Linked DNA regions of Ovis aries. The protein of the gene in region 1 interacts with the protein of each later gene in a pairwise test. Links are inferred from orthologs where the notes say so. Each region holds a gene or a part of one and is shown on either strand. Other genes may lie near its edges.

Region 1 (12,226 bases):
ATCATCTAAAGGACAGTTCTGAAAAAGAAAACCTTTAAAAAGTTCTTTTTATTACTGGTATTCATATATGCAGAATCCATTCATGACATAGAGGCACTTCGTGTGTGAGATTGACAGTTGGAAAAGGAAACCATACTCTGAGACCATATCTAGTCTTTATGAAAATAATCTAACTATTAACTATTTTTTTCCCTATGTTTCACAGAATTTCGAACTGGAAAAACCCAACTCTCTCATACCCTCTGTGGTAAGGATATATAATCTCATGTAATCTGAACAAACTTGCAAGGAAACTAAAACTCAGAGAGATTACTTAACTCTCCACGGTTATACAAATACCAGAGCTGGTCTGTAAATGTGTGATACATGAGGTCATGTTGCATGTACCGCACTCTGAACGACTGAATGGAAACAGGGAGGAGGTAAATGGATATATGAATGTATTGGTGGAGAGAGGTATTTGTTCATGGCCTCGGTTTTTCTTATTCTGTCTTTTGTATATATGTTTATAAGAATATCACAGAATCTATTGAGGCTTTAGAATTCCTTACTTTCCATAGAGTAAGGGTGGAACTAAAAAAGACTTAAAATAAGCAAAAATATCTCCTTTTACATAAAGTCATTGTATTGCATTTCTTAGACCTAATTAGAAGGAACATGGTTAAGTGTTTAGTAAGGGGATTCTGGAATACAAATAGGTCTACCCTTAATAGCTGCATGACCTTGGTTAAGTTGCTTCACCTTTCAGATTTTTCCCATCAGTAAAATAGGAATAGTGATAGAGCCATTTTAGGATTGTTTTGAAAAATAAATGAAATAATGTGTGTGCTTAATGCAAAATAATTCCTTAGTGTTAATACTACATATAAAGAAAATACATTTAAAATTAATGCATACATTAATTGAAAAGTTACTTAAATGAGTTGCATAGCATAAATTGTATTTGTGATTATTTCTTATAGGAGGAAAGTAATATTTAAATTCTCCCTCTGTTCTTTTTAAAAAAAATTTTTATCAAAATATGGTTGATTTATTATGTTGTGCCAATCTCTGCTGTACAGCAAAGTGACTCATTTATGCACATATATATCTTCTTTTCTGTTATGGTTTATTGCAGGATATTAAATATAGTTTCCTGTGCTATACATTAGGACCTTGTTATTCTACTTCAGTTCTTTAGGAGAACTAAATTTCATGAATATCTCCCATTGTGAAAGATACTAACATTCTTTGCTGAATTATTGTTATGCTGGAAGAATACTTATAATTTTGCCACTGGTTAGTAATATAAAAATATAACATGCTATTTAGAACTATTATTTGCTAGATGGCTAGAGAGTTGCAACCAGAATAAATCCCATGTTAGTTTGTATATCCATTTGTACAGAGTTTATTCACTCTTGTTAATATTAATTAATTTTTAATTGCTTCCTAGTGACAGCTCAACTTCCAGGAGCAGGTGGCTACTCAGGAGGAAAGATTATTTTCATCGATACAGAAAATACTTTGTAACCCTTTTATTTATGCAAATTGCAAACATAATAGTGTGATATAGTACTATTACTATAAAAGAGAATTTGTTTGAAATGTGTCATTTTTATAACTATCCTGTAAACCAATAATAATGAAAAAAAACCAAGGGAAAACAGTTGCTAGTTGAGTTCTCAAATCACTTTTTCCCTCTTAAATCTTTTTAAGAATTGTGTATTTATTCTTATTGACATAGAGTTGATTTACAATGTCATGTTAGTTTCAGGTATACAGGAAAGTGACGCAGTTATATATATATAGGTATACACACACACACACGTATATATACACACATGTATATTGTTGTGATTGTTTAGTCACTAAGTTGTGTCCAACTCTTGTGACCCCATGGTTTATAGCCCACCAGGCTCCTATGCCCATGGGCTTTCCCAGGTAAGAATCCTGGAGTGGCTTGCCATTTCCTTTACCAGGGGATCTTTCCAGCCCAGGGATCGAACTTGCATATCCCACATTAGCAAATGGATTCTTTACCTCTGAGCCACCAGGGAAGCCCATATACATACATATGTATACATGTGTGTGTGTTAATCACTTAGTTGTGTCCGATTCTTTGTGATTCCATGGACTGTAGCCTGCCAGGCTCCTCTGTCCATGGAGTTTTCCAGGCAAGAATACTGGAGTGGGTAGCCATTCCCTTCTTCAGGGGTTTTCCCAACCCAGGGATCAAACCTAGACAGATTCTTTACTGTCTGAGCCACCAGGGAAGCCCATATGTGTGTGTGTGTGTGTGTGTGTGTGTGTGTGTGTATATATATATGTATATATATATGTTCTTTTTCAGATTCTTTTCCCTTATAGGTTATTATAAAATACTGAATATAGTTCCCTGTGCTATACAGTAGGCAGTAGGTCCTTGTTGTTTTATATAGCATATATATGTTAATTCCAAACTCCTAATTTATCCCTCCCCACTGCTTTTTCCTTTTTGGTAACCATGCTTTTTTTTCTATGATCAAATCATGTTTTATTTAAAAAGGTTTCACTTCTCCAAATGGGTTTGGTATAAAATTAACAAAACAAATACATGAGAGGAAATTATATCTTATTTGTTTTTTAATCCTCCTACTTCTCCGAAGATTTAGATTAATAATTAGAAGATTGTTGACTCATTTAAAGTCATGGTCTCAAATAAAGGAAAGGTCTGAACTGAAAAAAAATACGAAAGGAAAAAGAAAAGAATCTATTTGGGTAACAAAAAGAATTGCAGTTTTGTTGAAGTATCAAGTTATTTCAGAATGCAAGGCTGGAAATGTGGCTCTTAGACATGAAGGGCCCTAAAGCTGGATGATGGGTGTAAATTGGATACTTTTGCAGTATTCTAGGCAAATAATGAGATTTGATGACTGTACTTGATCGACAAAGGGAAGAGAGGTTTGGGAAACCATTCATAGGTTTGTCTACATACTCAGAGTAATGATGACGGAATTCAGAAGCTCATGTTTCAAAGGAAAAAATGATGTTTCATTTTAATATGTTGAGTATGAGGTACAGAAAGACATTCATATGGCAGTTGAAAATGTTGGACTCAGCTTGATATGGATGGGATGGCCAGGGAAAAGCAAGAGAGTTTACAGAAAGAGAATGGAGAGCATAACTTTGGGGCATGCGTATGTCTAGGAAGAGGGGATAGATGAAGTAATCTGGTGGTGGATGCCAAGCATAAGGAAAGTTTCAAAAAAGGATTGGGACTTCCCCAGTGGTCCAGTGGTTAAGAATCTGCCTTTCAAGGCAGAGGATGTGGGTTCCATCCCTGGTCAGAGAACTAAGATCCCACATGTCCTGGGCAACTAAGCCCTCGCCACAACAAAAGAACCTGCCTGCCACAACTAGGACATCATGAAGCCAAAAAAAATATTTTTTAAAAAGAAAAGGGGTTCCATACAGAGAGAGGGTGTAAACTGAGAAAGATCACTGAGATTTGCAATTAGGAGTCCAAGAGACCATTTGCAGTAAAGAAAGATGATGGAAACTTGTTGCAAATAAACAGTAAGGAATTGATGTAGTGTGTAATTAACCAATAAATAGAAGAAGAAATAACGATAGTTTGAGGAGCTATCAGGCTCAGAAGACATTGCTTTTAACAATAGGACTGAAGCAAGAATTGCTCAGCTGGAGTTCAGCTAGTTTCAGAAATAGTTGATTAAATATGGTTCTTTGAGAGGGAGGAATTGTTCTTGAAGAATATCTGCTACTATTTGGCAATTTGGATTTTATCCAGAATGGTAGAAACAGCTAAGAGCCATGTGTAAGAGGGAATGCAGGGGAACAAGGATGTGCAAGGGCGCAAGTGAAATGTTCTCATTCTTTCAGTGTCTCTTGCATGTATACTGCTCTATCTTGATATTTTTCTTTTTATGTGCTTATATTTTGCCTACATAATTATATTTTACACTTACTTATGGCATAAATTATCTTATGACTCCTTAAATCCTCCATAGTGCCTTGCACTGGTAATTGGTTAATATGCTGGTAATTCCATTTGCTGATCTGCTAAAAAACATTTGTAAATTGGCTTGAACTTCCTTTTAGTGTAAGCCCAACTTTACATTCCTGATTATATAGTTACCTGGTTTTATAAAAACTGACATAGTGAAAAAAATTTATTTATCTCTTTCAATTCCTTGTCTTCTTTGACTTGTCTATCAGTAACATCTGAGTATACTCAGCAGCAGTAGAAGATTTTAGTGGCTGTCACTGTAGCTCTGAAGAAAACATATATAGTGCTGTAGGATGACTGGGATGGAGAAGGCAATGGCACCCCACTCCAGTACTCTTGTCTGGAAAATCCCATGGATGGAGGAGCCTGGAAGGCTACAGTCCATGGGGTCACTGAGGGTCGGACACAACTGAGCGACTTCACTTTCACTTTTCACTTTCATGCATAGGAGAAGGAAATGGCAACCCACTCCAGTGTTCTTGCCTGGAGAATCCCAGGGACAGGGGAGCCTGGCGGGCTGCCGTCTATGGGATCACACAGAGTCGGACACGACTGAAGCGACTTAGCAGCAGCAGCAGCAGCAGCAGCATGACTGGGAAATGCTAAAGACAGTTCAGCATTTACTGGACTAGTTCCAAGTGTCAACAAATAAGGTTATAAATGGTCCCTGGTTTATACTTCCCTGGTAGCTCACCTGGTAAAGAATCTACCTAGAATGCAGGAGACCACAGTTCGATCTCTGGGTAGGAAAGGTCCCCTGGAGAAGGGATAAGCTGCCCACTCCAGGATTTTTGGGCTTCCCTAGTGGCTCAGACGGTAAAGAAACTGTGTGTAATGCAGGAGACCTGGGTTTGATCCCTGAGTTGGAAAGATCCCCTGGAGGAGGGCATGGCAACCCACTCCAGTATTCTTGCCTGGAGAATCCGCATGAACAGAGGAGGCTGGCAGGCTGCAGTCCATGGAGTTACAAAGAGTCAGACATGACTGAGCGACTAAGTACAGCACAGCATAGTATGATCAGTATTAACACAGATACTGTAAACAAAGTGAAATGAGTCCATGGACATGCATTTTATCTTATGTCATTTTAGAAAATATTGGGATCACCAAAGACCTAAAAAGATGTTTATTGATACTCTTTATAGTCTAGATAGATATAAGTGAATATTAACATCTTCCAGAATACCTTTCCAGGTACACCGAATTTGTCCCCTCTATGAATTTACTAATTTCAGAATGCTATTACAACTCCTTTAGAAGAAAGTGGATTTTAAACCCAAAATAAATGAAAAACTATATGATGATAATTCCTTTCTGTATGTACCCTTAAAGTGACTTTTTTGATCCTTTGGTTCATGTAGTCAAATTTATCATTTATTGGCAACATGTGATTAGTGGTATATTAAACTGTTGCGTGTTGAACAAGTGAGGAACATGAGTGAATTAATTCACTTTGAAGTGACTTGAATTATAATTCAGTGATATTATCTTCATAGAAGAGATCTATTTTTATAGAACTGAGAACAAAAAAGGTTCACAAATCTTAATTTCTAGTTTTTCTCTTATAACTGATTTGCTGCTTACCTCTGAGTCATTTGCCTAATCTCTGTCAATGTCCTTATTTGTAAAATGTAATATAGGCCATAACAACTCACTTCCAAGGTTGTTGTTTAGATTAGATAATTTAATATTTAAATTCATTACTGTCTCATTATTTCTATCACTGTTATTACTACCTAATTAAGGCACTTAGGTAAAATAAAGTCTGATATAGATTTTAGGTGATTATTAGCATCCTCAGAATACCTATGCAGGTAGAGCGTTTTGCCTCTCATTTACTTAGAGCATTATTGTTTGTAGTTGTTGTCTAAACTTTTTGGAATTGATTTATTGAATCCTTAATCTGGCATACTCCAGCCGTCCAGATCGCCTTCGGGACATTGCTGATCGCTTCAATGTAGACCATAATGCAGTTCTGGACAATGTACTTTATGCACGTGCATATACTAGTAAGAACCCCATGCAATTGGATGCTTAGGCTGTTTTAAGATTGGCAGCATTGATGTATTATTTGAACGATACTTTATTTTAACATTATTCTTTTCTCTTTCTATTTTACTTTTCTCCAGATTTATTTAGTCAGTCCACAGATTTTATTATCTAAGTCCTTAGACATTGAAATGCTCTCAAATTATTTCTTATTCTTTGTCTTTGAAATGGAGAGTAACATTCTTTTGGATAAGGTATCATTTGGTATGTATGCTACCATATTTAATAAAGTAATAATTAAGAAATCCTAAAAAAAAAAAAAAGAAATCCTTCAGGGGTTCTCTTTTGCTGAGTTCCAAGGACAAACATGATCTTAGTCTCCGCTGCTTCTAGCTTTTATAACATTTTCCCACTGCATTTCCCATCAGGTGAACATCAGATGGAGCTACTTGATTATGTAGCAGCAAAGTTCCATGAAGAAGCTGGCATCTTTAAGCTGCTGGTACAAGCTTTTCAATACTGTTCAATCTGCAGCTATTTAGCATATTATCTTTCTTCTGTTGATTTTAGTTCAAATTAACTTCCATTTCCAAATGCATTATTTATTTTTACATTAATTTTGCACAGATCATTGATTCAATAATGGCACTTTTCCGAGTGGATTTCAGCGGTCGTGGGGAGTTGGCTGAACGGCAGCAAAAACTGGCCCAGATGTTGTCACGACTCCAAAAAATCTCAGAAGGTAGATGTTTAAAATAAACGGTGATATTAGAATAGCATCTGTGACTATTTGCTGAATAAGCTTTGCAGAGAAGCTCAGAATAATGTCAGGAGACAATCTGTTTTTTAAAAGATAAAATTTCCTTCATGGGGATACAACACTTTTTTAAAACCAGAAATACTGATTCTAAAACAATAAGGTACCTAAATAATATAACAATAACTTTGTGTTAACAGTGAAAAAACAGGAATGTAATCTTGTTTATCAAAGAAATTCATGGCACAGTGTTTCTAAACTCTGAAATCTAAGCAATAAACTTTTAATATTTATATTGCCATTCTCTTAGTTTCTTAATTTTATTTCTTGATGCAGAATATAATGTAGCTGTGTTTGTGACCAATCAAATGACTGCTGACCCAGGAGCAACTATGACGTAAGCCCCAATATTCTGCTTTTGTATTTCACAAAAGTTAATATTAGAAGCGTTAAAGTGGGGGAAAAAAAGGGTTTAGAGTGTAGAATAGGAAATAATTCCAAAATTATCAGTCTTGATATGGGCACAAATCTGTCACAAATCATGTTTTACACGGTGCATATCACTTCATAATTGCAAATATCACTTATTTGGTATCCAGATCTATTTGTCTCTAGTTCTTTGTAAAACAAAGCAATATTTTAACTATTTTCAGAGATATTTGGGGTTTTTTTTGTCTAAGATTTAAAGGATATTGGAGAACAATAAAAAAAATCTTGGAAATAAAAACTTATATACAAGATACATGAATGGTTTCTTACAGGGGGGGAGGTGACATTTATTATGTGCAGGAAGTGATGTGGAGACTTCTCTCACCAAAAATACATGAATGGTTTTTGTTGCACCGATAAGCTTTTAGCCTGAAAACAGAAAAGCAGGCTCTTTACAGGATATACATGGGGTATATTTGTAAGAAGTCCTAGGAGAGAAGTCTCCTATTTGAGGAAACAGAATTTCAGTCCATGCTAGTCCATGTTAGAAATATTCATTTTTTGTTGACGTATTGTGCACATAACTTACATATTGATGACTATTCTTGAAAGATGGCAGTGAATAGAAAGATAAGGAGAGTGAAAGTAGTCTAGTGAAACAGAATTCTAAGAAAGGTTAGTTGCCACCATCAAAAATTTTGAGCAGTATGTATCTGGATAAGCAATCCAAATAACCCTGAATCTATGTATTGCTTTTTTAAAGATCTTTTCAATGGCTTTTTATTTATAATAATTTTTAGCCAGAGAAAAGTTGCAAGACTAGCACAATAAATACACAAGTAATATCATTTGCCTAGGTTCATCAGTTGTTAACATATGTGTTTGTGTGTGTGCATGTGTATGTAAAATCTCTCTATATACTGCATACGTACACAGGCTTATATATGTATGTATATGTTCTGTGAAACCTTTGAGAGTTTTTTTCCCTGAATTATTGAGAATTATTTGCAGACATCATGACACCTCACTTCTTAAATTTCAGCATATCTCTTCTAAGAAGAAGAACATTCCTGTACATAACTACAACATAATTAGCACAGTCAGGGTGCTAATTTAATACTGGTGTACTAGTTGTCTAATGTACAGTTATGTTCAAGTGTCTCCAGTTGTTCCAATAATAGCCTGTATAGTTTGAAGGAACATGCATTCCATGTACTTGTCATGTCTCTTTAGTTTCCATTAATCAGAACAACTCCTCAACCTTTGTTTTTTGTGACATTGATGTTTTTGTTGCACCATGCGGTACACAGGGTCATCAAGTCCATGCTGCCTGCATTGGGAGCATGTGACATTTTTGAAGAGCACAGGCCAATTGTTTTTCAGAATGTCTCTCAATGTGGAGTTTATTTTTTTCTCATTATTTAAAACGTTAAACACATTTGGCAGGAAAACTATAAAAGTGATGTTATATATCACTTTTCCATATATCATATCAAGAGGCACACTCTTTCAGTTTGTCCCATTATTACTAATGTTAAGTTTGATCATGTTATTAACATGTGTTCACCAGATTTCTCCATTGTAAAAAACCTTTTCCCCTTGGTAATTAATAAGTAATTTCTGGGGTGATACTTTGTGACTTACATAAGTGTCATGTTTTGCACCCATTGATTTTAGCATCTATTGGAGATTCTTTTGTTTTTAATTATTTATTGATTGATTGGCTGCACTGGCTCTTAGTTGAGGCACACAGGATCTTCCATCTTCACTGGGCGTGTGAGCTCTTAGTTGCAACATATGGGATCTGGTTCCTTAATCAGAGATCAAACCCAGGCTCTCTGAGTTAAGAGCACAGAGTCCTAGCCACTGGACCACCAGAGAAGTCCCTATTGGAGATTCTGTTTAAATCAGTTATTACTGTGATGGCTGCAGTACAAAGTTCTGTTACTTTAAAACTGAGTCAGTATGTCACTTGTTAGCAGATAAATCAATCATTGATATATATGAGAAGATATTTGATATAATATTGTAAATTCTGAAAATTGTTCTGAAATGAATGTATCTCTCTTTAGGCATTTTCTGAACTCATCCTAAGATTATTGCTGCATCTTCTGCAGTTTGATATAGCTCTCACTTTTCAGTACCATTTTTATTTTCTACTTAATTACAAGAGATTCCAGTGTGAAAAGTTTTAACTACATGAAAGGTTTTAAGCACATGGTTATTTTTTGGTTTGGTCATTCTTTTTGGCCTCACCTTGAGGCATGTGGGGTCTTGGCGCCCTAACAAGGGACTGAACCTGAGCCCCCTGCAGTGGATGTGTGGAGTCCTAACCACTGGACCACCAGGAAAGTCCAAGCATGTTAAAATGACTGGGGCGAGAGAAATTATTTATTCATTCAATATATATTTATTGAAAATATACTATGTAACAAGATTCTGGGAATTCACTAGTGAACAAAGGAGACTATCTGCCTTGCCTCCATTAGGGAAAAACAAAATACATGATGTCCATTTAATTTAAATTTTCAAGTCTTGATATGTCATGCAAAGTCTGTAGTCCTTGAATGGTTAGGGCAATCTCTGTGTTATGTGGTGTCTTTCATACACAGGACATGAAGTACTTCACAAAAAGAATAATTTTAAGCTGAAGAGAAATGGAAGATTTTTAAGGCTCACTTTAAAAAGAGAAAATGACTCATTGGCTCAGAGGGAGGAAGTGGGTTGCATTCAAATAAAACAGTGCAAGTTAAAGAGCAATGTTCTTTCTTCAGGTGTTGGGAGGGAACATTGAAGAGGCCAAAACTGTCGATCTAGAGTTAGAAGGCAAAAGAAGTCTGTGGAAATTAGGTCAGATAGGATTCTTTTTCTTATATTTGTAAAAAGTTTCAAAGAGAATCAAATCATTTTGAATTGACTCCAGTAAGAGAAAAATAAAGAGGTGACAGAAAGAAGATAATTGAAGAGTCAGAGAGCAGAGGAGATATGTAATGAAGGAAGCTAGGTAAAGAGCCAAAGAAAGTAACAAAGGCTCATATTTTTGCTTGGTGAATCTGTTTTGAAATAGCATCTCCTCCACCTGGCTGGGTTATACAGAAACAAGTTTCATTGTAATTAGTATATTCTAAAATGTATTAATATTATGACAATATAAATTAAATGCATGTGCTGTAAAGCACATAAATTGCCACAACTAAATTAAAAAAGAAATTTTAAACTAAAGAATTCCAAATGCTATTAGAATACTTTCCATAAAGAAAATATCTTTGTTTCTCAGTATTAAGGAACTCCAAGCTGCAGCTCTCCTGGAGCCTGTCAGAGAAATATCACTATAATTGGTATGAGTCGCCAAGTACATTGACAATAATTGAGGCTTATATCCCATGCATTATACTCTATGGCACATCGTATTAAAAAGGAACAAAATTACAGAGGCGAGGAGCTGCCATATGATACAACAGAGCAGTAATTCCTAGATAAGGCTCACAGATGCAGATTTTAGGACTAGAATGATCCAGTTGATAAAGGCCTGGAAATAGTCAAAGTATCAGCCTGTGAAGCTCCATACCACAGCAAATAATCAGATAAGCAACAAATAAGACCTTGATGTCCCCCTACTTCATTTGTGTATTTGTTTCCCTAAAACAAAAAGTCATCTTAGAATGTTTTTAGTCCGGTAAATGTGCAGTTTACTCTTTAAGGATGTCACTTACTGATTCTACATCATTAGTATAAATTATTGAGGGCAGGAGGAGAAGGGGATGACAGAGGATGAGATGGTTGGATGGCATCACTGACTCAATGGACATGGGTTTGGGTGGACTCCGGGAGTTGGTGATGGACAGAGAAGCCTGGTGTGCTGCGGTTCATGGGGTCGCAAGGAGTCGGACACGACTGAGGGACTGAACTGAACTGAAGAAGCAGTATGGTAGAGAAAAAACATTAAGCCAAGATCACTAGCATGCTGACCTTGTGCAACATTTAAATTATTTGAAATTAAGAGCGCTTATATTTATTGGTTGCTTACCATGTGCCAGATGCTTTCACTTATCATCTCATGTAATTCTCATATCACCCCTTCAAAGCTCACCTACTGTGCTGTGCTTAGTCCCTCAGTCATGTCCATCTCTTTGTGACCCCGTGGACTGTGGCCCACCAGGCTCCTCTGTCCATGGGGGTTCTCCAGGCAAGAATACTGGAGTGGGTTGCCATGCCCTCCCCCAGGGGATCTTCCCAACCCAGGGATCAAACCCAGGTCTCCCGCACTGCAGACGGAATCTTTACTGTCTGAGCCACCAGGGAAGCCCAAGAATACTGGAGTGGATAGCCCATCCCTTCTCCAAGGGATCTTCCCGACCCAGGAATTGAATCTGGGTCTCCTGCACTATAGGTAGATTCTTTACCAGCTGAGCTACCAAGGAAGCCCTAGCTCACCTCCTAGACTTCCCTTCTCTATGAAGCCAGTCTCAAAATATTGCCACATTTCTCCCCATCTCACCACCCAAAACCCGGAATTCTGTCTTCAAAATTTTTTAAAATGTGTAGATTTTTCTGCATAGTTTGAGAGGAAATAGTGGGTGGGGTTATTTAACAAAACTTCTTACACATACTGTATTTTTTGAAGCCATCTTTTTTTTTTTTTTTTTTTTTGCCAAAATTCCACTCTTTTGGCAGTACTCTTCTCTCTTTATCTTTCTCTAATCTCAAAACATCCTCCTCACTTTTGGACATGTTCACTCAGTCTCTCAATGGACTCCTTCTAAAAAATTCCATCTTTAAGCTTGCCCCTTAGCAAGTCAAAAGTACCAGGAGTACCAGTTTTCTCCCACGTTTGCCCTTGCCTGGACCCCTCAAGGTCTCCACTCCAGCCAGTATTTGAGGTAGACACTGTTGTTATTCCTAATTTATAAAGGAGGAAACCGAGGCTTAGAGTGCCTACTTGATCAATCACACAGTTAAAAAGCAGGAGCCAGAATTTAAACCTAGATATCCCCTGGTGGCTCAGATGTTAAAGTATCTGCCTGCAATGTGGGAGACCTGGGTTCGATCCCTGGGTCGGGAAG
Region 2 (12,226 bases), about 35 Mb from region 1:
GGTGGCTCTCCAGAGGACCAGGGCTTCAGAATCAGAGCCCACTCTAGGCATCGGCTCCGGGAGCCCCACAGCTTTCCTGGTGGCCCCTGGGAGAGCAGACACCATGGGCGTGGCCTGGGCCCAAAAGCCGCTCCCACGGGGAAGGGAGCTAAACACTCCAGCGTCACAGCTAACACCTGTTTACAGGTTCTGGATTTGTCAAAGCCCTGGCATTCCCAGCACCTTCAGACAGGACTAGGGCCCTGCTCCAAGGGGCCAGGGGCTTTGGCAGGAAACTGACTAGTGTGTGAACCCTAGAAAGTCACTTATCCCCTTGTGCCTCCATGCCTGCATCTGTGGAATGGGGTAACAATAGCACCCACCTTGCTGAGCTGCTGTGAAGATAAAAGGGGCGGATACAAGTGTGTCGCTTAGTGCCACGCCTGGCACCAAGGACCCGTGATACAGAGTTTGCTGTCTGTCATCTGTAGGGCCCCACGGGGGGCATTCCTGGCAGTAGCACGCACTGACCACCTCCTCTGTGTTAGGTGGATGTGAGCACTGGGGACAGCCAGGGACATCAGATGTGGGTCCTGTCCCGCAGGAGCCCAGAGGCCCGTTGTGCAAAGGACCTGCCCTGAGGAGCTGAGGGGGGTCCAAAGGCTGAGGGCTGTCCCCCTCACCAGAGAGGCACTCGCTCAGTCTCTAAGATGGCTCCCTTACCTGCGTGGGGACAAGCACGCCCTGGGGCTTGTGATGAGCACGGGACAGGCTCTGCAGACTGTGAAGTGTGGTTGGTCAGTGCACAAAGATCATGCACTTAGTGGGATTGGAGGGCAGAGGCACTTGAGTGGGAACCCCAGCTCTGCCCCATGCTGGGTGTGAGGTGTTGCACAGCTACTGCCTTGCCTGGCCCTTGGCTTCCCTGTTTGCTCGGTGGGGGTGATGAGAGTATCTACTTCTCGTGCTGAGAATGAACTACAGTAAAGAGTGCAACCTGCCTGGCGTGGTGCCTGCTGCTTAGCACGTGCTTCATCAGTGGGAGCATGTAATCAGGGGTCAGCCAAGGCCCCTCTCACTGTGGCCTTCTAGGGTCCAGTCCCATGGGCCTGCTGCCTCTGGTTAGCCCCAGACGGGGGGACTGGTAGGTGTCCCAGGTCGCTGTGCTCAGCACACCAGGGAGATGGTGCCTCTTAGCCCTGCTATAGAGAGTGTGAGTCCCCAAGAAGGGAGTGTTCCCTCTTGCCTGACCCCTGAACTCAGAGAGGCTCGTCACCCTAGTGTGATGAGCAGGGGGTGGGGATGGAGGGGACAAGGCGAGAATGGGGCATGGGGGCAGTGGGAGTGATGTGGGTGCTGCTCTGTGTCAGGGGTCCTGGAGGAAGCGGAATTCTACAACATTGGCCCGCTGATCCGCATCATCAAAGACCGGATGGAGGAAAAGGATTACACCGTCACACAGGTCAGGGGGCAGCGGGGCAGCATCCATGGCCAGAGCAGGGGGTGGTGGGGAGTGGGGAGAAGGGAGGTCAGGAGAGACAGAACTAGGTTTTCTTGGGAAGGCCGAGCTGCCCTGTAAGGGGTTGTCCAGCTCCCAGATCGCCCCGCAAAGCCCCAGACTGGGAGACATGTATCAGGTTCTGTCCTTGCCTTGGCTCTGCTGTGTGACCTTGGGCCAGTCACTTCACTCTCTGGATCCTGATTTCCTTTTGGGGCATATAGAGGTACTGAGAACTGCCCACCCTTCCCTTCCTCACAGGCAATATGGAGTCAGTATGAGGGTACAGGGGTCCTTGTAGGGGCAATGGGGATTAGTACACCATCCATTTCATGGGCTCAAGTGGCCCCCTGGAGCTGGCATGTCTGAGCTTGGACCCTGGACCTAAGTGGCCAGTCTGCAGGAGGAGCTGGTGGACTTCTCTGCCCACCCTGGGGGAGAGGTAGAAGATGAGAGATGGGTAGGGAGGCACTGTCTTCCACTGTCCTTCTCTCCCCAGGAGCTTGAAGAGGGGGTGCTCTGTCTCCTGGAGGACCTGCCTCAGTTAGTGGCCCAGGATGCCTCCTAAGCCCTTCTTCCTTACCCCTTGTATCACCTGTGTCCCAATTCTGGTCCTGCAACTCTTTAGCTGGGTGACCTTGGGCCAGTAACCAACCCTCTCAGAGCTTCCATGAACCTTCCTAGGGTTTTAGGTGGGATTAAGTGAAATCACGCATGTTGAGTGCCTGGCACATCGCAATTACTCAGAATGTGACTTCTGGCTTACCACCCCAACTCCATCCCCTCCTTCTGTCCTTCTTAGGGGTAGAGGGTAAGTGAAGAGCAGGGGCTCTCCCATCCCGGGATGCTGGGCACTCCCACAAGGTGCCCTCCACATCGCCCTCTGCCCATAGGTCCCACCCAAGCACGTGTACCGCGTGCTGCAGTGCCAGGAGGAGGAGCTGACGCAGATGGTCTCCACCATGTCTGATGGCTGGCGCTTTGAGCAGGTGGGTGGAGCACGCAGGAGCCACATGTCCAGGCAAAGCAAGCTCCTCTCTTCCTGCAGCCCCAGCCTTGGGGTTCCCCACTGCAGCCCCTACCCAGGAGTCTTCTTAAGGCAAACAAACAAGATTAAGAAAGGCCACACTTGGCAGCAGATTGATTGGGAAGGAGAGACAAAGGAAGCCCCACGGGCCACAGGCAGCTCTGGCAAAGCCTCCCAGGAGCTGGGTAGCATTTACACCGAAGTGTGTGAGTCTCTGCCCCCCCAAGCGACAGTTCTGATGAGAGGAGACAAGAACCGTAGAGGAGAACGGAGGTCTCCTGGGGGCCACACCTCTTGTAGCAACTCCACAGGCATAGATTCCAGGTCCCCACAAGGGACATGCCCAGTTCCAAGCATGGCCGCCTTCAGAAGCACAGAGCGGCAGCCTCCCCTGAGGTATTCACGATGACCTGCATTTCCTTCCAGTGCTGATGCAGTTTACCAGCCAGGAGAGATTTTTATCATAAACAGGTTGCCCTAGTAATCCAGTTGACGTCACACCTCTCTCAGGTTTCCAGAGGATCAGAGCCAGCAAGCCAACCCAAGGTCAGATTGGCCCTTAAGAAGAGAAGGGTTGCACTGCCTTTTATCCACACAAGCTCCCTCACACCTGGAGGTTGAAGAAAGGAGAGGAAGGCCAGGCTCCCCAGGATGGCCAGGCCTGGGGGGAAGAACAAGGCCAGTCCAGGAACTGGAAGCCTGGATTCACATCTAGGCTTCACCACTGATGTGCTCTGTGACCTTGAGCAGGTCATCTCTCTCTTGGCCTCAGTTTCCCAATCTGTGACATGGGCCAGTAGTGCTTCTTTTGCCAGAACATTGTGTAGATTAGAAAGACCATGGATCAAGTCTCTAGCCCAGGGTAGGCCTCAAAACAGTGAAGCTAGCTAGCATCCTATGAATTATTAGAAGCATTTGACTCTGTAGGATTCCAGAGAGGACTCAGGGTCCTGGATTCAAATCCTGTTCCACTCATTCTGGTTGTGGGACAAACCATCCCTCAAGGCCTCATCTGCTAAAGGGGCTGGCTGGTTTTTCCTCTGTCTGCAGGATGAGGGTCCCTGGGGGCTGAATGAGACCCACCATGTGCAGAGCTTTTATCAGCCAGGAGGGGCCTTCAGATGTAGTTATTTTAGGGATCCCAGACCAAAAGTGGGGCTGCTTTCCTCTGCTCTCTAGGTGAGAGTCGCAATTGCATGGGCTCCTAGAGGCTGAGCAAACATGCCAGGCACCACTGGCCTAAGGAACAGGTGATCTGGTCTACCTCTATTTCCAAGAGCAAACAGAATATTCTATGGTGCTCCACCAGGTCATGTGGACCCCATCCCGCGACTTGGTTCTGGGGCTGCTTCAGCCACACCCAGGACACAGGAGCACAGTCTGCCTGTTACAGATCTCTGCCTGCTTCTGGAAGTGGCCTGCTAGATCTGGGACTAGGCCGAGTGGGGGAGAAACAGCAATGATAACTGCCTTCCCCTAAGGATCAGGCCCGGCCAAGCCATGTGGGGAGGCTGGCCCTGGAAATTGACCAGAGGCATAGGCTGGGGAGGTGGAGAGGACTCTGACTTTGGGCCAGAGGTGTCCTCTGGAAAGCCAGGGGGATGGGCCTGAATGGAGCAGCAAGATAGGGCACAGTCAGTATCTTGACAAGTGCCAATGTTTGCCCACCCCTGCCCCCCACCCCACCTGACCAGTCATTTTCTCCCCACGCGCCGTCCCTCCAGCTGGTGAACATCGGCTCCTCCTACAACTATGGCAGTGAGGACCAGGCAGAGTTCCTGTGTGTGGTGTCCAAGGAGCTCTACAGCTCTCCACATGGGCTGAGCTCCGAGTCCAGCCGCAAAACCAAGGTGAGCCCCCCGCCCGACCTCAGCCTCCCTGCCTTCCCTCCCTCCCCTTGCTGCCCTCCGCCTGGCCATCTGTGCTTCTTCTTTCTCCCTCCTGCTACACACGCCTGACGCCCTGATCACAGCTGATGCCATCCATCCCATGCCACCCATGGTCCTGTCTGCCCACGCCAGTTGCCCAGGCCCAGGCTCCAGGGACAGTGAGAGGAGATTAGCCCCAGGGTGTGACCAGAGTGGACTTAGATGTTACTTGGATGGTGGGCACATGGCGGCCACGGGGCAGCATGGCACCGGGAGAATGCACTGGGCTAGGGGTCTGGGCGTGGTGTGAGTGCTCTGTGTGACCTTGGACAGGTCGCATCCTCTCTGTGCACCTTGGTTGTATTCTCAGAGAAGTGAGGGGGTGGACCACCAGCTTGGAACTTCTGCGATCCAAGGGGCCAGTTTAGTTCCTGGGGACCAGGGCTGGGGCAGGGAAGCTGAATCTGTTCATTCTGCCCCTTCTGCAGGCTCCCCACATAGGACTCAGCAGCAGAGGGGTCTGGAGCCCTCAGGGTCCAACCCTGTGTTGCCATCCTGGCCTGTGAGGCAGCCTCAGCTGGCTGCAGGGAGGGGGTTGATCGAAGGTCCTATCACCCCAGACCCTGAGTTGGTCAGAAGCCTCAGGAGTCCAGGGTGGAACCAGCAGGGCAGGCAGCAGCCAGGCTGGGAAGAAAGGAGAGCGTTCCTTCTAGAAGCCTGTCCCTGTGTGTTGAAGACTTAGGAACTCTGCTTCCCGTCTGTTTGTCTGCCTTCCTGTGCTGTGACTTCCCGTGCCCACCCCACCCCCAGCGGGGCCAGTGGCTGACGTGGCCTTGCAGGGGTGCAGGGTGAGCTGGCTGCTCCTGCCTCTCTGGGAGAGACCTCAGGATCTGGGATGTCAGAGCCAGTGCTGGCATCTCAGATCTGGCTGGTGTCTGCTGTGGGCCTTCCCTGGCCTCATATGTACTCTGGGTTGGTCCTTCTAAAATGAGGCCTTCCCAGGCACCCCTCAAGGATACCCCAGCCACACACCCACCCTCTTCGTCTCCACCACTGTCACAGCGGCAGCGGCCAGCATCCTCAGCAGGTCTCCACCCTCCCGCTGGTTACCCCGGGCCCCTCCCCAGGCTTCCTGGGAGGGACACGATGCCCCGGCTTCTGTGGCTGTAGCGCTCCCCTCCCCTGAAGGTCCTCCTTCTCTTGCCCCTCCCCTTCACCCTGAGACGGGGGCCCTCGGGGCCAGCCGCCAGCAGGCCCCGGTCCCCCGGTCAGTTCTGCGCTCTTTCTTCCCTGGGTCCGCCGGCTGGTTCACAGAGCGCGGAGGAGCAGCTGGAGCAGCAGCAGGAGCAGGAGGTGCAGGTGGAGGCAGATACGCAGGAGAAAGGTGCAGCCAACCCCCGAGGAGAATGATTGCTAGTAGAAGCCGGCGCCTCCCGCCCGCTCCCTGCTGGAGCCAGCTGCAGAGCCTGGGGTCCCGGGGGCGGCCGGGGGTCGGGCGGGCCCACCAGGGTTAGCTCAGCCGCATGCCTGGCGCCTCACCTGCATAACCATCCCTTCTCTCACTTTCTCTTTGCAGCCCAGTCATCTCAGGATCCCGCTAACCTTTTCTCCCTCCCACCACCGCCTCCTCCTCCTCCGCTCCCCGCCGGAGGTCCTGCCTCATCTTCATCCACCTCTTCCTCCTGGATCTCACCTACACCCTGCCTCTTCCCTCTCTGCCCCTGTCCGGGTTTTCTCTCTGCCTGCTCACACCTCCATCCCGGGGCTGTCCTGGTCCCAGCCTCCTGCGCCCTCCACCCAGGCGCCCCGGCCCCGCATCCCAGAGCACCCTGCCTGCCGCCTCCTGCACCCCTTCTGGCACCTCCTGCCTCCCGGGCCGGTGGGGAGGGGAGCAGCTGCACCTCCTCAGCGCCCCCTGCCGGCCACGTCTGAGGCACTGCTCCAGCGCTTCACGTTCTCCTCACGTTTCCTCCTTGCAGGTTTCTGGCGGCACCCCCTCAGACCTGAGGTGGTGCTTGCAGGGAGGGCCTCCCCTGGGCCCCTCGCCTGCCCCCAGAGCTGCCATGCCTGGTTCGTAGCCTGGCGGAGCTGGAGGGAGGGGCAGAAGCCAGAAGGGTGCTCATCTCTTATTTCTGGAACTTGAGCCGCACTTCCGGCTGAGTTTCTCCCCTCACCCAAGTTTCTCAGCCTATCTTGGCCTTGGGTGTGAGGCTCTGAGAGCAGACAAGAGGGGGAGGAAATTCTCTCCCACCTGCCCATCAGCATCAGAGCCACGCTGGGAAGGAGGGAAGGGAGACGGAAGCCAGGTGCCCAGACCTCACCCCTGATGCCCAGGACTCCTAATCACAGCCTCGGGGCACTGGGTCCCCGGTTTCTGCGGGGCTTGGAAGGACAGGCCACACTTGGATGCCTGTGGCCTTGGGAGAGTCAGCAGGAGCTGGCTAAGGATTGGGCTGTGGCAGAAGCAGCCCTGGCCAGGAGCCCACAAACCCCCACTCCATCTTATCTACCTGCTGTGGCCTTGGGCAAGTCACTGTCCCTCTCCGGGCCACAGTTCTCTAAAATGGGACTGACAGCTGTTCTCTGTGACCTCTTGCCTGAGACACTGGTGACCAGCCTCTCTTGACTTTCACTCCCCCAGCCAGAGTCTTGGCAGAATATGGACTCCTAGGAGGCCACCACCCAGCCCAAGATGGGGCGTGGGGTTCCCAGCAGACCAGCAAGCCGGGTCGCCTTCCTGTATCCCCTCCTCCTCAGCTCTGAATCCACCTTTTCTGGGCCTCAGCCCTCCTTCCTCGCAGAAAGGACCTCGTGACTCACCTAACTCTCTCTCTCTCCCTGTCTCCCCCACCCGCCCACCCCCTCCATTTCGATCTCCCCTCTGCCCTTCTCCTGGCCCTGCACTCCCGTCTCCTCACTGGCCCCACCCCCCCTCCCCTCCCGGTGTTCTGACCACCCCCACCCCGTCCCCCTGCCCCTCTTATTTTCTAGCTGTTACAAGCCAGAGGCACCCGGATGTAAGGCCCCAGATCGCCTCCAGGGACTTGGGGTTCCGTTCTGAAATCCTTTATTTTTGTACCACGGGGTGGGCCCCCGGCCTGAGGCAGAGGAAGAGATCTCCCCGCTGTCACCTCTGTCTACACCCTAGGGGATGTCACTCACCCCTGCCTCCGGGGTCCGGGAGGGGGCCCGCGGGGACCTCTCAAGCCCTGAGGTGGGCCCTGGGACCCCTGGGCAGAGCTGCCTGCCTGTGGCCGAAGTGTGGTGTTGTCCAGCTGTGTCTCCCAGGCCCCCAAGTCCCTGCCCCCAGGGCCCCCAGCTGCATGGCAAATACTACGCTCCCCCCCAGCCCAGTGACGTCACCTCCTTGAGCCTTAGTCTCGCTGTGTGTCACCCAGGTCACGTCCTGCCCTAACCTTGTGAGGTTACCAAGAGGGGCGAGGGCCCTGAAGGCCCTCAGGGAGGGTGTAAAACGCAGGCTGGCCCAGCACAGAGATGCAGGGATTGGTGGGGGTGAAAGGTCTGGGGGTCGGCCATATCGGAAGGAGAGGGTGGGTGACTTGGCCTTCAGCTTGGCTGCTCCCCACGCCCACCCCATCCCCGCCATCCGTACTGCTGGGCGCAGAGTGGCCTGGCCAGGAGGGCAGCGGGCACTGATTCAGCAGGGGCAGTGGGGCCCCTCAGGAACTGATGGCAAGGGAAAGGGGACCGTCCTTCCTCCACCCAGGGGAGAGGCTGGGGCTGGCAGGGGCTGAGCGAGGGGCCTCTCGCGTTTATGGGCTCCTGGGCCAGGTACTTGCTTCTCAGTTGTGTCCAACCCCATCGTGTAATAAAACCTGAATAAACAGCCAGCCTGGCTGCCTCCCTTTCTCTGGGCCACATTTGGGGACAGCGCTCTGTGGACTTAATTGTGTCTGATTCTCGTGACCCTGTGGATGAGTCCACCAGCCGCCTCTGTCCATGGGATTTTCCAGGTAAGAATACTGGAGTGGGTTGCCATTTCTTCTTCCAGGGGATCTTCCTGACCCAGGGATTGAACCCATGTCTCCTGCATTGCAGGTGGATTCTTCACCTGCTGAGTCATCAGGGAAGTCCCTTGGATCAGGGGCTAAACTTAAGGTGGGATACAGTCCAAAGGTAATGGGGCTTTTTCCCCAAGTCCTGGGGTCTGCCTGTTGTCCCTCTCCCGTGTGTGTTGAGGGGGAGTATCACGGCTGGATCCTCTGTCTCGTGGATGGGCGTCCAGGGTACCAACGCTGCCTTGCTGGGTAAACTTTGGAAAGTATCTGCCCCTCTCTGGGTCTGTTTCTTCACGGGTAAAGCAAGGGGTTGGACGAGGTGACTTCTAAGGCCCTGCCCCCAGAGTTACTCAATCTCCCACAGCCTCCAGGCAGACGTGGATTAGCTGGGATGCTGAGGGCTGGGGAGCTGGGCTTCCAGGCACCTGGAGTTTCCCTACCTCACCACACTGTTCAGCTGGCCCTCTTCTCCCCGGCTTTGCCCTGCCACCTCCGCTCCATCCTAACCTCCCAGGACGTCCTCTCTGCTTCCCGCTATGATACCTTCTGGTCACCTCCACCCCCTGTCCCAAGTCCTGAGAAATACAAACCCCAGGCTCCCATCCATCTTCTGAGTCCAACAAAGCCCTGCCCACCCCCACCCAACTTGGCCAATTCCTTCACCATGTGCTGGTCCTACTGAGTGTCTACCTTGCCTCCCTCCTCCCCTCCCCCCAGCAGTTTATTTTGCAGGTGTTTTGGGGGGACATCTCTGCAAAGCCGTGATCCCCTAAGCAGAGGCCCTCCCAAGCCCACTCAACGGTCTGGGGGCCCTCACCACTTCCCTTGGGGCCACCTGGCTCTCTGGAGTTGACTTCACTTTCTGTATCGCAAAAGGGTCACCAGGAGGCTTGTTAAAAGAACAGATTACAACCCCCACCCCAATTTCCACTAAGACTAGGATAAGGCCAGGAGTTTGCATTTCAGCAAAGCACCCTCTGGCAGTGTTCTGCTCCCCCTTTGAGAGGCCCCTGGGGTAGTCCTGTCCCCTCCCCAAAGCTGACCCCCCCGTAGCAGCTGCTCCACCTGCTCCGTCTCCACAGGGGCCGCCCAGCAGGTGGAGGGCTCCCCACGCGTGGCTTCGGCGGCCACTCCTCGTCTCCCTTTGAAAACTCTGGAGACTAGGTCCCTGCTGAGGCCCCCGCTGCTTCTTCCTCCCACTCAGGCTCCAAGGAAGACGTGTCTGCGCTTGACACCCTCCTTCCCTCCACCAGGGCCCACCCCACAGCCCTCCCTGATCACTCCCACTCAGGCCACAGCCTTGGCTGCCAAGACCCCACCCCTCAGCTCCCCTCCAGCCACTGGACACACCACCCCTCAGCCTCCTACTCTGGGCCCCCACTTCTACAGTGCGTGTGTCTCCCCTACCTCTTTGGTCTTCCCTGGACCACCTTCCATGCAGGGTGGCTGGAAAATCCCCCCTCCAAACCTCTCTCAAGCTCTGCCTATCTCCTGGACATCTCCCTCCTAGAGGCACCCTAAGTTCATGATACCTTCCCAGAGCCTTTCCTTCCCCAGGTGCCCCAGGTCAGGCAATGGGTCCTCCACCAGCCCAGCCAGGAGAGGTCCTCAGATTACCCCCACCACCAATGCACCTGGAGGATAATGAAGGTCCTTCAATGCTGTGTCCATCCCCACTGCCCTGCTTGGTCCAGGCCTCCTCCTTCTTGAGTTCTGCAGCAGCCTCCTCACCAGCTTCCCTGCCTCCCATTTTCTCCACGCTGATGTCCATGTTGGTTCTAAATGTTAAGCCACTTGTGTGTCACCTTCCTGCTCTAGAACCTTTCCTGGCTCCCCAGAGTGCCCAGCATCAGATCTTTAGCTCCACTCCAAGTTCTTTGCCATCTCATCTCAGTTTGCCCCTCCCCAAAGGAATTCTGCAAAGAATTCCTTTGCTTTGCCCCTAACCCCAACCTCTGTCCAAACTAAAAACAACTTTCCCTAAGAGGCCACTGACTTTGAGGACTCTGTGCCTTTGCACATCCTCTTCCCCTGCCTGGAATGCTCTTCCCTCCTTTGGCTGCCTTTGAATCCCAACTCAAGTTTCCTCCAGGCAGCTCTCCCTGACTTTCCGAGTTACTGGCTGCCTCCCCCAGAACCCTTCACACTGGATCACCATCCCACCCCTCTCGAGATTAGGAGCCGAGTTCTGTGAGCTCCATGACCCCACTACAGCACTTGGCACGTGGTCAGAGCCTGTGAGGTGCTGAATAAGAGACACAGAATGCAGAGGCAGTGCTGAGACAGAGAAGTGGTCGCCTGGGAATCAGGAGACAGGGCTTCCGCCCCAGGCTCCACTCCTGACCCCTCCCTGGTGGGATCAGGAGGCTCCTTGTCCCTCAGTTTCCTCCTAGGCTTCCAGAAGCAGCCCAGCACTTGTCCCAGCTCTGACTCTGACCTGTGTGCGTCTGACTCTTTGTGGCACAATGGACTGTCGAAGGGAGTTTCCAGGCAAGAATACTGAAGTGGGGTGCCATTTCCTACTCCAGGGGATCTTCCCAACCCAGAGGTTGAACCTGTGTCTCTTGCATCTCCTGCTTGGCAGGCGGATTCTTTACCACTAGTGCCACCTGGGAAGCCCAACTCTGACCTGACGGCACCCCACCACTGCCTTTCCAGGGTGGCTCCTGGGATTTAGGCAAATGCCCTGGAGGTCAGCCCTGCCCCCACTGACCCCGCCTTGGCCTTCTGGACACTTAGCCAACAGGCTGAGCAGACAGCAAGGGTCTGTTCAGTCAAGGGCATGAGATTGGTGCTGGGGCCCCATTCAACCCCCAGAGTAGGACCTTGGGTCAGACGGCTTTATTCCACAGGGCAGCTGAGCTCACCTCCTGGTGAGAATGGTCAGTGAAGTCCCAAGGGGCAAGTGGGGTTGGGAGGACCCTGGACCCAGGGCTCCCCACACTTTGGCTTGCAGTGGCGGCTGGCCCACTTGGCTGTCTCCAGGACTGTGAGGGCCCTTCCTGTGGGAGCACCTTCCTCCTCCACCACTCAAGTTAGGCCGAGGGCTTCAAAGGCCGGAATCTGCTGTCTGGAGAAGATGCCATCCCAACAGCCTTTGCACTGGGGCAGGGGTGGTGGCGGGAGGACCTTGCAGCCACAGGATCACTGCTCAACTCTTCCCCACAAAAGTCAGCAGCGGAGGAGCAGGGAGGAGAAGAGAGAATCAGGAGGTGACAGCCTGGATGAGAACCCCCCATCCAGGACTGGTGACCATCCCAGGCCCTCAGGGGTGGTCTGGACCACCAGCGAATGGCCCACCTCCCTCCTTGTACCCTCACTGAGGCTGATATCAGGCATTAGGTTGGGGGACAGGAAAGACACCACCTCTTGTCCCCTCCAGGCCCTGCTGCCTGCAGAATACTTGCTCCCAACCCCCCCAGTGGGTGCCCTGGGCTCTCTGAGTCCAAGAGGTAGGCCCCTGCTCTGCAGGGGGGCAGCTCCTCAAGTCAGCACCTGCTGGATCCAGCTTATCACACCAGTGATGCGGGTGTAGACGCCAAAATAGTTGGGCCGGCCGCAGCCCAGACCCCAGCTGACAAGCCCTGCCAGGAACCAACGGCCACTGGGCTCCTTGCACACCAGCGGGCCACCTGAGTCACCCTGTAAGGCGCGGAGAGACAGGACTACGTCAGGGTAAAGGAATCCACTTCCAGGTAAAGGGCTGGACTACTGGGGATATTCTGAGAGTGGCAGCAGGAAAACGAGAACTGCTTTGGAAGCCTCCGATACATGGAGGAAGCCCGAACCAACCCAGCCTGGCCTCCAGCGGGGCCTGGCTGTCACGGAAGCTTGA

Evidence for each region.
Region 2: the proteins of DMC1 (region 1) and KCTD17 interact in binary tests that used the Homo sapiens proteins (3 or more experiments, as listed by UniProt). The two-hybrid records come from large-scale screens. The link is inferred for Ovis aries from reciprocal best matches to the Homo sapiens genes DMC1 and KCTD17.

Annotation. Positions count from the first base shown.
Region 1 is NC_056056.1:216,032,897-216,045,122, reverse strand, and holds part of DMC1 (meiotic recombination protein DMC1/LIM15 homolog), read left to right. Parts: intron 1-205; coding exon 206-247; intron 248-1,435; coding exon 1,436-1,508; intron 1,509-5,905; coding exon 5,906-5,997; intron 5,998-6,405; coding exon 6,406-6,479; intron 6,480-6,604; coding exon 6,605-6,719; intron 6,720-7,070; coding exon 7,071-7,131; intron 7,132-12,226. UniProt on the Homo sapiens protein: Participates in meiotic recombination, specifically in homologous strand assimilation, which is required for the resolution of meiotic double-strand breaks.
Region 2 is NC_056056.1:181,105,559-181,117,784, forward strand, and holds the end of KCTD17 (BTB/POZ domain-containing protein KCTD17), read left to right. Parts: intron 1-1,349; coding exon 1,350-1,441; intron 1,442-2,370; coding exon 2,371-2,466; intron 2,467-4,228; coding exon 4,229-4,354; intron 4,355-4,860; coding exon of another isoform or gene 4,861-4,938; exon of another isoform or gene 4,939-5,680; intron 5,681-5,686; coding exon 5,687-5,756; intron 5,757-5,948; coding exon of another isoform or gene 5,949-6,304; exon of another isoform or gene 6,305-7,265; intron 7,266-7,363; coding exon 7,364-7,743; 3' UTR 7,744-8,253; downstream 8,254-12,226. Other genes in the region: TMPRSS6 (transmembrane protease serine 6), read right to left, coding at 11,875-12,033. UniProt on the Homo sapiens protein: Substrate-adapter for CUL3-RING ubiquitin ligase complexes which mediates the ubiquitination and subsequent proteasomal degradation of TCHP, a protein involved in ciliogenesis down-regulation.